Linked DNA regions of Kluyveromyces lactis. The protein of the gene in region 1 binds, or shares a complex with, the protein of each later gene. Links are inferred from orthologs where the notes say so. Each region holds a gene or a part of one and is shown on either strand. Other genes may lie near its edges.

The links.
Region 2: the proteins of RSC58 (region 1) and STH1 are in contact, whole or in part, in a cryo-EM structure (PDB 6V8O), measured with the Saccharomyces cerevisiae proteins. The link is inferred for Kluyveromyces lactis from reciprocal best matches to the Saccharomyces cerevisiae genes RSC58 and STH1. Residues at the interface, in NP_013133.1 of Saccharomyces cerevisiae: Ala23, Ala24, Lys122, Lys125, Phe126, Glu129, Asn239, Ala241, Pro242, Arg243, Leu244, Gly245, Val247, Gly248, Ala249, Asn250, Ile254, Pro255, Asp256, Pro257, Thr258, Thr262, Glu263, Met264, Met265, Phe268, His270, Pro271, Asn272, Trp273; in NP_012140.1 of Saccharomyces cerevisiae: Lys48, Pro49, Arg50, Ser51, Ser52, Leu55, Leu59, Glu80, Phe83, Arg84, Ile86, Ser87, Asp89, Gln90, Asp91, Tyr93, Glu94, Lys96, Leu97, Leu100, Arg101, Ser103, Ile104, Asp105, Lys106, Phe108, Gln109, Tyr110, Asp111, Glu112.
Region 3: RSC58 (region 1) and NPL6 share a complex: the UniProt entries of both Saccharomyces cerevisiae proteins name them as parts of the two forms of the RSC complex. The link is inferred for Kluyveromyces lactis from reciprocal best matches to the Saccharomyces cerevisiae genes RSC58 and NPL6.

The regions. Positions count from the first base shown.
Region 1 is NC_006042.1:1,593,526-1,596,761, reverse strand, and holds RSC58 (Rsc58p), read left to right. Parts: upstream 1-997; coding exon 998-1,053; intron 1,054-1,272; coding exon 1,273-2,725; downstream 2,726-3,236. Other genes in the region: ATP-dependent RNA helicase ECM16, read left to right, coding at 1-681; putative divalent metal ion transporter SMF3, read right to left, coding at 3,054-3,236. UniProt on the Saccharomyces cerevisiae protein: Component of the chromatin structure-remodeling complex (RSC), which is involved in transcription regulation and nucleosome positioning. RSC is responsible for the transfer of a histone octamer from a nucleosome core particle to naked DNA.
Region 2 is NC_006042.1:437,453-441,211, reverse strand, and holds the start of STH1 (RSC chromatin remodeling complex ATPase subunit STH1), read left to right. Parts: upstream 1-1,528; coding exon 1,529-3,759. Other genes in the region: MET18 (Met18p), read left to right, coding at 1-106; RRT14 (Rrt14p), read right to left, coding at 269-874. UniProt on the Saccharomyces cerevisiae protein: Catalytic component of the chromatin structure-remodeling complex (RSC), which is involved in transcription regulation and nucleosome positioning. RSC is responsible for the transfer of a histone octamer from a nucleosome core particle to naked DNA.
Region 3 is NC_006042.1:1,271,992-1,275,041, reverse strand, and holds NPL6 (Npl6p), read left to right. Parts: upstream 1-1,282; coding exon 1,283-2,545; downstream 2,546-3,050. Other genes in the region: AIP1 (Aip1p), read left to right, coding at 1-932; m-AAA protease subunit YTA12, read left to right, coding at 2,964-3,050. UniProt on the Saccharomyces cerevisiae protein: Component of the chromatin structure remodeling complex (RSC), which is involved in transcription regulation and nucleosome positioning. RSC is responsible for the transfer of a histone octamer from a nucleosome core particle to naked DNA.

The sequences.
Region 1 (3,236 bases):
AGAAAGCAGGTGATGTTCATCATCAGGTCAGTTACTTCGAGAGAAAATGTAGCTGTAAATGTTAAAGACGAAGACTTGAAGAGCTCGATCCCCACCGATGTTCAAATCAAATTACTCAAGCAAATGATCACAGCAGGATTTATCGACCAGGTGGCCGTTCGCGCAGACCAGTTATTCCCGGAAGACGTTACTATCAACAAAACCAACATTTTCAATATCCCTTATGTTCCAGTCCTTGCTGAGAAAACATCTTCTTTGGATGATATCTTTGTTTATATTCATCCAACCTCAATTCTCAACAATTCTGGCGAGCAACCTCCGAAATACTTGGTTTTCCAATCACTACATGTCAATAAAAATAATGAAAAGGCGAAAACAAGGATGAAGTCTCTTTGTGACATTAAAAGCACGCCATTGGCTAACGTTGCAAGAAAGGGCTCGTTACTCACTTACGGAAAACCAATCACTGGACAAGGTTTGAAACCTATTGATTTATCGCCAACAGAAAGATTCTGCTATGTTGTTCCTAGATTTGGATCTTGCAATGATAGCGACATCAAGATTGGTTGGGAACTCAATCCTATCCCTGTTCATCAAGAGAAAGAGAAAGGTGTATGGACGGTCAAGAAATTCCTTACTCCAAAAGCATTTAAAAACTATCAAGCTTCGAAAAGACCCTAGAACTACACCAGTACAATTTATAGAATTAATTAACTCATATAATACCAATTGCATTGGAATAATTAAAGGCCAATACCTAGCTTGTTAGGCTATGACTGGGTACTGTTGCTGTGACAGGAATCTCTGTAAAAGCTGTCAATGGATGCCAGTTGGATCATGATGTACGGTTTTGATGTTTTTCATAATGAAAACACAGGTTTTGGCGCAGGTTGATCAATAAAGGCTTCTTACATTACTGCTGAATGACAAACTGATGGGCAGTGAGAGAGTACAAGGTCTGCAAACTCTTTTATAGTGGGCTAAAAATAAGTAAACAATGGTAGAGCTGCTAAAAGAGAATTTTTTTCAGAACTTACTAACTGTTTTAAAAGGGTATGTGAATATAAAAACAACACATTTTTCATTCGAATTATGTTGCATTCGCACATGTTTTTGTCTAGAATCGGTGATAATAATAAATTAAAGACCAGCATACGATGACCTGGGGTTCCTCAAGTCTTTATTTTATGTTTTCAGTGTTAGATTTGCCAAAGCATGATTTTATTTTACAATCAAATACTAACAGTATTAATTTTATTTTGATTTAATTAGTGCATCTTCGAAATGCAGAGCTTTAGATGAAAGGTTTCCTAAAGAATTCTACGAGCCTGATCCAACACACATATACGATTCTTACGTGAAGTTTCTAAGGGCCAAGTTTGATGAAAATCCAGATATCAAAATAGCAGAAGATATTGATTCAATTTCCATATCTGATAAATTTGCTAGTGGAGATTACCAGAAGCATGAAGATTCTGTTTATCGGATTTACCATGATATTAAATTAGTATGCTCCATTTTAATTCACTACTACTCTCAAGGAACGAGGTCGTACCAAATGGTCGACAAATTCTACAAATTTGCAGCAGAATTGATTCTAAGGGAATGTTATAGAGTTGGAGCCAAACTGGTGGGAGACTTCGCGGCAGACATTGACTTCAAAGAAAGTGATTTTTCAAAAACCATTTCCAATGATTTCCTTAAAATTAGTCAAGTTTATCAGCTCCCCGTTACTGAAACTTACCATACGCAGACAAAGGAGGGACATTTGTTCAGTTCGGTGATAACGAGGTCAGTACTTGATCAGAGGCCAAAGGAAGTACCATACGAGGAATGTGAAATTGTGAAAATTATTCCTCAAGCAACATCCCAACCAGCCAATAGATTGGGATTCGTAGCAGCTAACACTTCCAATGTTCCTGATCCAACAATTTCTCCTACAGAAATCATGACCTCCTTTCTGCATCCGAATTGGTACCCGCTACCCACTACTAAATGGTTGGAGTATGGCGACTATCAATCTTTTGCTCCGAGTATCTCGGAGTTCAAGTCTGTAACAGATTGTTCCCGTAAAGGAGACATATGGTTGGAAAAGGTCGGATACAAAAGCTGGTTAGAAATAGAATCGAAGAAGAGAGGGGCTGCGGAAGCAGAAGATAAAAATGTTGAAGATGAAAAAATAAAGGATGAGGGTATTGAAGATCAAAAGGTTGAGGAAGCAAATGACAGTATCGGATCTGACAACCAAAAAAAGGAATCAAATGAAAATGATGAAGAGCAGAATGTTGCCACGGATGAAGAGCAAGATACAAATGAGGAGGGAGATGAAGTAATAGTGACAACGGAGCCAGCTGGACCTGTCAATATTAATTTGAAAAATCTTTATGACTGGCAACCTAGCCATGAGATACATGATGAAGATATAACGGCTTTTGAGCAAGGTGAACAGCAAAGGTTATTGACAGAGATATTGCTAAAGCTAAAGGCATGTAAATCGAGAAGGGTCAAGCTGAACAAGATATCAAAACCAACAAGTGAGGAAGTTTCCCTTTATCATAGAGCACAGAACATCTTGAAAGAAGCTCTACTTTCTAAACAGATTGTGACATCTCCAAAATTGCACGAGAAACATTTCCCAGTCCTTCAGACTAATTATGCCGGATCAGTTCCTGTCGTCAAGACCATATCGACTAGAAAAAAGAAAAGTAAGAAAGTTATGCAGTGAAGTAGATATTTCCGTATAGAATCTATAAATCGCAGCTGTGGTAGTGTGCAATAATCTGTGGGGCTAGTTTATTATCAGTGATAGCTAACGGTTACTATTATTTGGAGTTATTTTCTGAAACCATCAGTGTTTCGATTTTTTTACTTCCTCAATTACTTTCGAAGGTAAATGTCCAAGAACAATTAAAGATTATATAAAGAACAAAGAAATTAACCACAACAAAGGTACAAGAGAAGAGATCAACAAAGCAGATCCAATAAGTACAATTTACGAATTGATTATAGATTAAACAGAATCCATCAAAACTATATAAAATGCCTACTTAGACTTAAAAATGCACGTCCGCTCCCATGAGGTATGAAAATACAAGATAACAATTCAATGAACCAATTGTCAACCATATAACAAATGAACTGATGCTCAACAGTCTTCCATTGGTGTAGTCAATGGACTTAACGCCTTTCGATAATAATCTACTTTCTTCAGTACTGTCTGCAGATGCGGGTGCAGA
Region 2 (3,759 bases), about 1.2 Mb from region 1:
ATCAAAACTTCAAATTGGTTTAGATGACTCGAAGCGTAGAGTGCGCAAACAATGCATAGACACAAAACAGGCATATTTGGAATTAGGACAGGTACCATTTGAGTAGTTCTACTTCCTTCAAATAATGAATATACTTAATTAATATATATGAACCGACAATGAACACTTGAGTCTACTGAGTATTTGATCATATGCTGAGAGAAAAAAACACACCTTTGTATGAGCCGCAATGAAAACTCCGTACCTGTACGTCTTTGTAAATATGAGCTCAATAATCTTCATCTTCGTCTTCTGATTCCTCCTCATCGCTCGCACCAACTGGAGCCAATCCAGGTGTGAGAGCTTTATATCTGTGGTCTTGTATCGATTGTGGTAGCTTCTCCTTGAACTGTTTCTTCTTTTGTCTCCTAGATTTTACCTTCCTTACCTTCTTTGAATCTTCTGAGTTGGCAAGTATTTGTTTCTGTAAATCTAACAGTTCTTCCTTATCGTCATAATCCCAACTTTTCAGGTTGCGAACATTTTTCTTCACCACTTTATCCAAATAGGATTTCTCATGATCCGTAAGAGAATTATCTACTTGATGCTTTCTTAGTACTTGTAGCTTAGCCTTCTGTTCTATATCCTCTTGGACTTCTTTTCTTCCAGATATCTTCTTTCTCAACATTTTCTTCTCCCTCTTTTTGATCCGGTATACATCCTTTTCTTGTACCTCTACTCTTTTCTTCAAGTTCCTATCTATTAGTTGTGCTTTCGAGCCTTTGTCTCGGCTTGTTTTCTTTCTTTCTGCATTAACCGACGCAGAACCCGGCAGTACGCTTTGCAACAATGCGTTCACAGCGTTGGTAGCATGAGCAGCTGCAAGAGATGACATTATAATCAGAGAATTTTAGTTCTTCAAACCTTGATTGTCAATACAGAAGACACTTTTGTAACAGTTCGAAGCACTGTAACTATCTCAATCGGGGAACTTGATAGTTCACTCTCATCACATCTCATCTAATCTCATCTCATCTCATCCATGGCGTATTATCCAAATTTTCATTTTAGGTCATGAAATATTAAACAAGAAAAGAAACAATGGTGCCCACTTTAATGCGAATATTTTGGCACGTGATCGAAGTTGGTTTATTACCCGGTTCTTGTTGTTGTTACCCGTACTTTGGCCCATGGCAATAGTGAATGTCAAAGAAAAAAGTAAACACGATAAATAAAATTGTGAAAAAGAGGATGAATTTGAAAACAGTTTGATTTTATTCTGAATTTAGTTTTGACACGAGAAAAGGACGAACAGAGGTTTGTTTTCAACACGGCAACGGCGGCTAAAAAAATAGACGCACCGAAAGCGAAACAGTAAAGAATTCTAGGGCAATAGTACCTGTTTGTATCGCGTTAGCTTTGTGACAACTCTGAATTTTTTTAGCAGGACTTCAGTTATTGTTTTACCCCCTTTCAGAATAAAAAAGGTTTAAAGCTCACTAGCGGGAAGAGACCTGGATCACGTTAAGAAGTGTGAAATAAAACAACAATGGATCAAGTCGTCGTAACGAATAACGCGGATACAGCGCCTCCTTATCCGCTTCCTATAGTGAATTCTGAGAATGTTGATAATGGGAATTCCGAAACTGAAAACCAGGACGTTAACGGCAATATCGAAGACAACCATGTTGGTGCTGACAAAGGAAGCAACAACAATTTTCGGAACGACAGTGGTAGTGCTATTGGACAGAACCAGATTGCCGCTGTTCTAGAAGAAATGAAGAAGGTGGAAAGAGTAATCTTGCCACTACCTGAAACGAAAGAACAATTAGAAAATTTGATTTATCGTTACAGATACATTTCTCAATATAGAGATCATAATAAGCTTGAAGTTGAGGCTATTGAACAAATTTTCACCCAAATCTCGGATAAACAGGAAGAGTACAAGGAAAGGCTGCTGAGGTTAAGAGAAAACGCAGCCAAAGATATTCAGTGGGACGAAAAGTTGTTGAAGGAGCAAATGGTAAGCTTACAGCTTTTGAGTAAAGATATAAATATACCGGATGGCCTCTTAGAGGATGATGATGATGAATCAGTAAGTTCCGACAGTTCTGATATCTCGGTACAACTGGAGAAGGTTAAACTTTCTGTTGATTTCGACGAAACAAGTGTGCGCTTAGGCCTTCCCGAAGCTTTAAGCAACTTTCGTCTTAAATCTGGAAATGAAGCCTCGCTTGGAGATTGGGAGGTTGAAAAAATAATCTCCACACTCATTGCGAAAAGAATTAAACAACTTGAAAATCTACCCTCTAATTTGGGAACATATTCTTTAAATGATGCGCTTGATTTTGTAACTAAAGATGATATTCCTACCGGCGCAGACGACTTCAAGTTAAGAGCTTTGGTGGAGCTCAAGTCCTTGAAAATGCTAACGAAACAGAAATCTTTGAGAAAGAGGCTGATTGAAAGTGTTGCAGCTAAATCGCATAATATCATTCCATCTCTCCGTGACTCTCCTTATACTTTAGCAGCTCAAAGATCCATTCATGTTAGACCGAAGACCATCGTTCCACAAACTGCTAGATTAGCAGAAGAACTTGAAAGGCAGGAATTGGTAGAAAGCAGGAGAAGAGAAAGAAACTTACGGTTACAAAGGATCAATAATATTGTATCAAGTATCAACGAAAGATTGGAGAATGATACAACACAACGTGATCGCTGTTATCAAATGGGTAGATCTATCGGAAACTTGCATGGTCATTTGGAGAAAGATGAGCAGAGAAGAATGGAAAGAACTGCCAAGCAACGTTTAGCAGCCTTGAAGTCCAATGATGAAGAAGCATATTTGAAATTGTTAGACCAAACCAAAGATACAAGAATTACACATCTATTGAAACAAACTAATTCTTTCTTGGATTCTCTTGCTCAAGCGGTTAGAGTGCAGCAAAATGAGGTACGCATCAAAAGGGGTGAAGAAATTCCTCCAATCACGGATGAAGAAAGAGAAAAAATTGATTATTACGAGGTTTCCCACAGAATTAAGGAAACAGTAGACAAACAGCCAAGCATATTGGTTGGAGGCACGTTGAAAGAGTATCAACTAAAGGGTTTAGAGTGGATGGTGTCTCTATACAATAATCATCTTAACGGTATTCTCGCAGATGAAATGGGTCTAGGTAAAACAATTCAATCCATCTCGTTGATCAGTTATCTTTATGAAATAAAGAACGAGAGGCAACCATTTTTGGTGATTGTCCCTTTATCCACCATCACGAACTGGACTATAGAATTCGAAAAATGGGCACCTTCTCTAAGAACCATTGTGTACAAAGGGAACCCAAACCAACGTAAGGCTTTGCAACATACAATCAAAATGGGAAATTTCGACGTGGTTCTAACTACTTATGAGTACATTATAAAGGATCGTCCACTGTTGGCCAAACACGATTGGGCTCATATGATTATCGATGAAGGTCATAGAATGAAAAACGCTCAATCAAAACTATCTTACACGTTGACACATTACTACAAAACAAAAAATAGGCTAATTTTAACGGGTACTCCATTGCAAAATAATCTACCAGAATTGTGGGCTCTATTAAATTTTGTTTTACCTAAGATCTTTAATTCCTCAAAAACATTTGACGAATGGTTTAATACACCATTCGCGAACACAGGTACTCAAGAAAAGCTAGAAATGACAGAAGAAGAAACGCTTCTAGTTATTAGAAGATTGCACAAAGTTTTACGTCCATTTTTGTTACGTCGTTTGAAGAAGGA
Region 3 (3,050 bases), about 320 kb from region 1:
TCGTAACATTGACGCTTGATGGGACCTTGAGCATTTTGTCTCTAAATGATCATACCATCAAATTCATTCATGGTCACAACAAGGGGATTACTTCTTTGGCGGTAAACCCATTAGTGTCTGGGTCATACGATGGTAGAGTTGTTACCTGGAATTCAGAAGGTGACGAAGTCAATGCTATTAGCCATGATATTCATGGTAATCTCGTATTGGCCATCGATAACTCTGATAACGAGGTATCGAGTGTTTCTTGGGACGAAACGTTGAAGAATTTCATCGATGGTGAAAAAGCGCTTGCTGAAACGAAGTACCAATTCTCAGAGCAACCTAAATGTGCGGTTTTCTCTCATAACACTTTGGCTGTTGCTACAAACACTAACGAATTGTTGATCATCGATAACAAGAGTGGGCTATTATCGAAATCGATAACTCTAGATAAACCTGTCGGGGCCCTCGCATTGGGAACTACTTTCGTGGCAGTGGCATACGAACAAACCAACTCCGTGCAGCTATTCAAAATTTCTGACCTATCAGATGCATTCACGTTGGCCACTCCATTACGTGCCACTCCATCTGCTCTTTCCTTCTCTCCATCACAAAAGTACTTGGCTGCCGGTGACGTGTCCGGTAAGATTATCCTATATGATCTTGACACGAAGGACGTCAAGACCTCGAGATGGTCATTCCACACAAGCAGAATTACATCCATTGACTGGAGACCTTCTGCAAATGATGATGATTTGGAGGAAGATTATGTTGTCACTGGCTCTCTGGACACCAACATCTTCATCTACTCTGTTAACAAACCTATGAAAGTGATAAAAAGATTAAACGCACAAAAGGACGGTGTGTCCAGTGTACTATGGGAAAACGATTCCACTATCGTCAGCGCCGGTGTGGACGCCTGTATCAAGAGGTGGACCGTCGAGTTTTGAATGAGACACATTTTTTACCAGTAACACATAAAAGTATTTAACAGTTAGTTAACGTACGAAATATAAGACAATGAATAACAATAGGAGGATCAGATGTTGCATCAAGGCCCCCCCCCCCAGAAATATCTAGAGCTTCTAGTAAAGCCGTTGAAGTTGTTCTTTCTTCTTTATCATCTCATACGTTTTGATGTTTCTCTTGAACATTGAACAGATTCCTGCCTCTCAAAGCTTATATATAAACAAACAAGATCAACAAAGCTCGGTTGAAAGCGGATATACGCATAACATTCCTTAGTAATTCTGTATTTGGAATCACCAATCAAGAAGCTTGAGTTTCTCCTATATCAGATATGGCAGCAGCAGGAAGAGGCAGGAAGAGCTCGAGGGTTTCTCGCTCAGCTAACAAAGCAACCAGCTATAAAATCGATACAGACGAGTTAGACATTGAAGATGATGAAAAGGATCAAGAGTACCCTGGACCAGCCAATGATGATGATTACGATGATGACCCAGATGCTGATATCGAAAACGAGGGTAAACCATCTCGTTCCAAGCGCAAGGCCGCTTCGAGCACACCTGTTCCAGTGGTACTAGCGACAAGAGGAAGGCCTTCAAAGAGGAAAAGAGAAGAAGATTTGAACGATCCCTTAAGACAGAAACTACCGTACCCAGTGGACGAAAACGGGTCTCCATACCCAATTGTGAATGACGAGTATTCATTACCTGAGGATCCAGAGGGTGAAACCAAGATCACCAAGAATGGTGATCTTCTAGAGGGAAGACAATTTGTAGTCAGAACTTTCACGGTACCTTCCAGAGGTGAAGTTAAATACATGCTTTCTACTGAGCCAGCCCGTGCCGTTGGGTTCAGAGACTCATACTTGTTCTTCCAGTACCATCCAAACCTATACAAATTGATTATCTCGCAATCAGAGAGAGACGATCTCATCAAAAATGGTGTATTGCCCTATTCGTACAGAAACAGAATCATTGCGCTAGTTACTGCAAGGAGTGTGTTCCGAGAATTCGGAGCCAAGGTTGTTGTAGATGGTAAAAACATCACGGATGATTATTACGCCGGTAAGCTTCGTGCATCCGGGAAGGTGAAAGAGGGTACCCCAGCAAGAGAAACATCACACACAAGTGTCACTGGAAGAAATACCCTTGGAATAGACATTCCGCAACAATTATCCGTCAACCCATCCAAAAATGCAGTAGAATTCTTTGACAAGAGAAATCACAACATCCCGGCAACAAGCAATATCTCATCTACGAACTGGCTCTATCATCATGCTGCTGCATGCAGTAGATTCAACAGTGATCTTTTCTACGATAGAGAACGCATTCTTCTCATCGAAAACCTCGGACTAAGAGATACGTACACGAACGTCTTACATATACCACAATCCACACAATCGACGAGAGTGATATCAGTGAAGAAAGTGAAAGGAAACACAAGCCAAGTTATGTACGAAACAAGAATCAAAGCTCTTGACCTAGCAAGACCTTGCACCGGTCTTTCTGACGTCCCTACATCGATGTACGAAGACATCTTGGACGAAGATATAGTCGCTGCTATAGAAGAACAAAAGAGATTCGAAACAAGCCTATAACATAGCTGAACTGACCTCCCATGTATACGTGTATATCTCAACATACGTAATAAGAGTGTATTATACTAAGTGGCCGGGTAACGATATGTCCTTGCTCTACCAAAAATGAATTTGGGCTTTTCAACCAGAACAACCCCATAAGGTGAACAGACAAGGCCATTTGCCACCGATAAAAGGAGCGTTAGCAGTTACATTTGCAATCTACAGTGGTTGCATTGTGAATTTAAGACCCTATAGTAGTGTAAAATAGCCAGGTGTTTGTTGAAACGGCTGTTTTTGTCTCGGTTTGTTTCGGTGTTAACAAAGATTTTCCACTGGTTTTAAATTCGAAAAGTCCTGTTAGGTAAACGGTATAGCAATCAGACTCGGCTAACCGTAGCAGCGACGTGGTGGTTTTATTACATTGAAGTGACTTGCAATGTTCCATTTAATAAGGCCGGTATCTAGGCTTGGCGTAAAGTCTGTGGCCAGTAGGGCGTTGTACAAAGTTCCAAAGGGGCGTTCG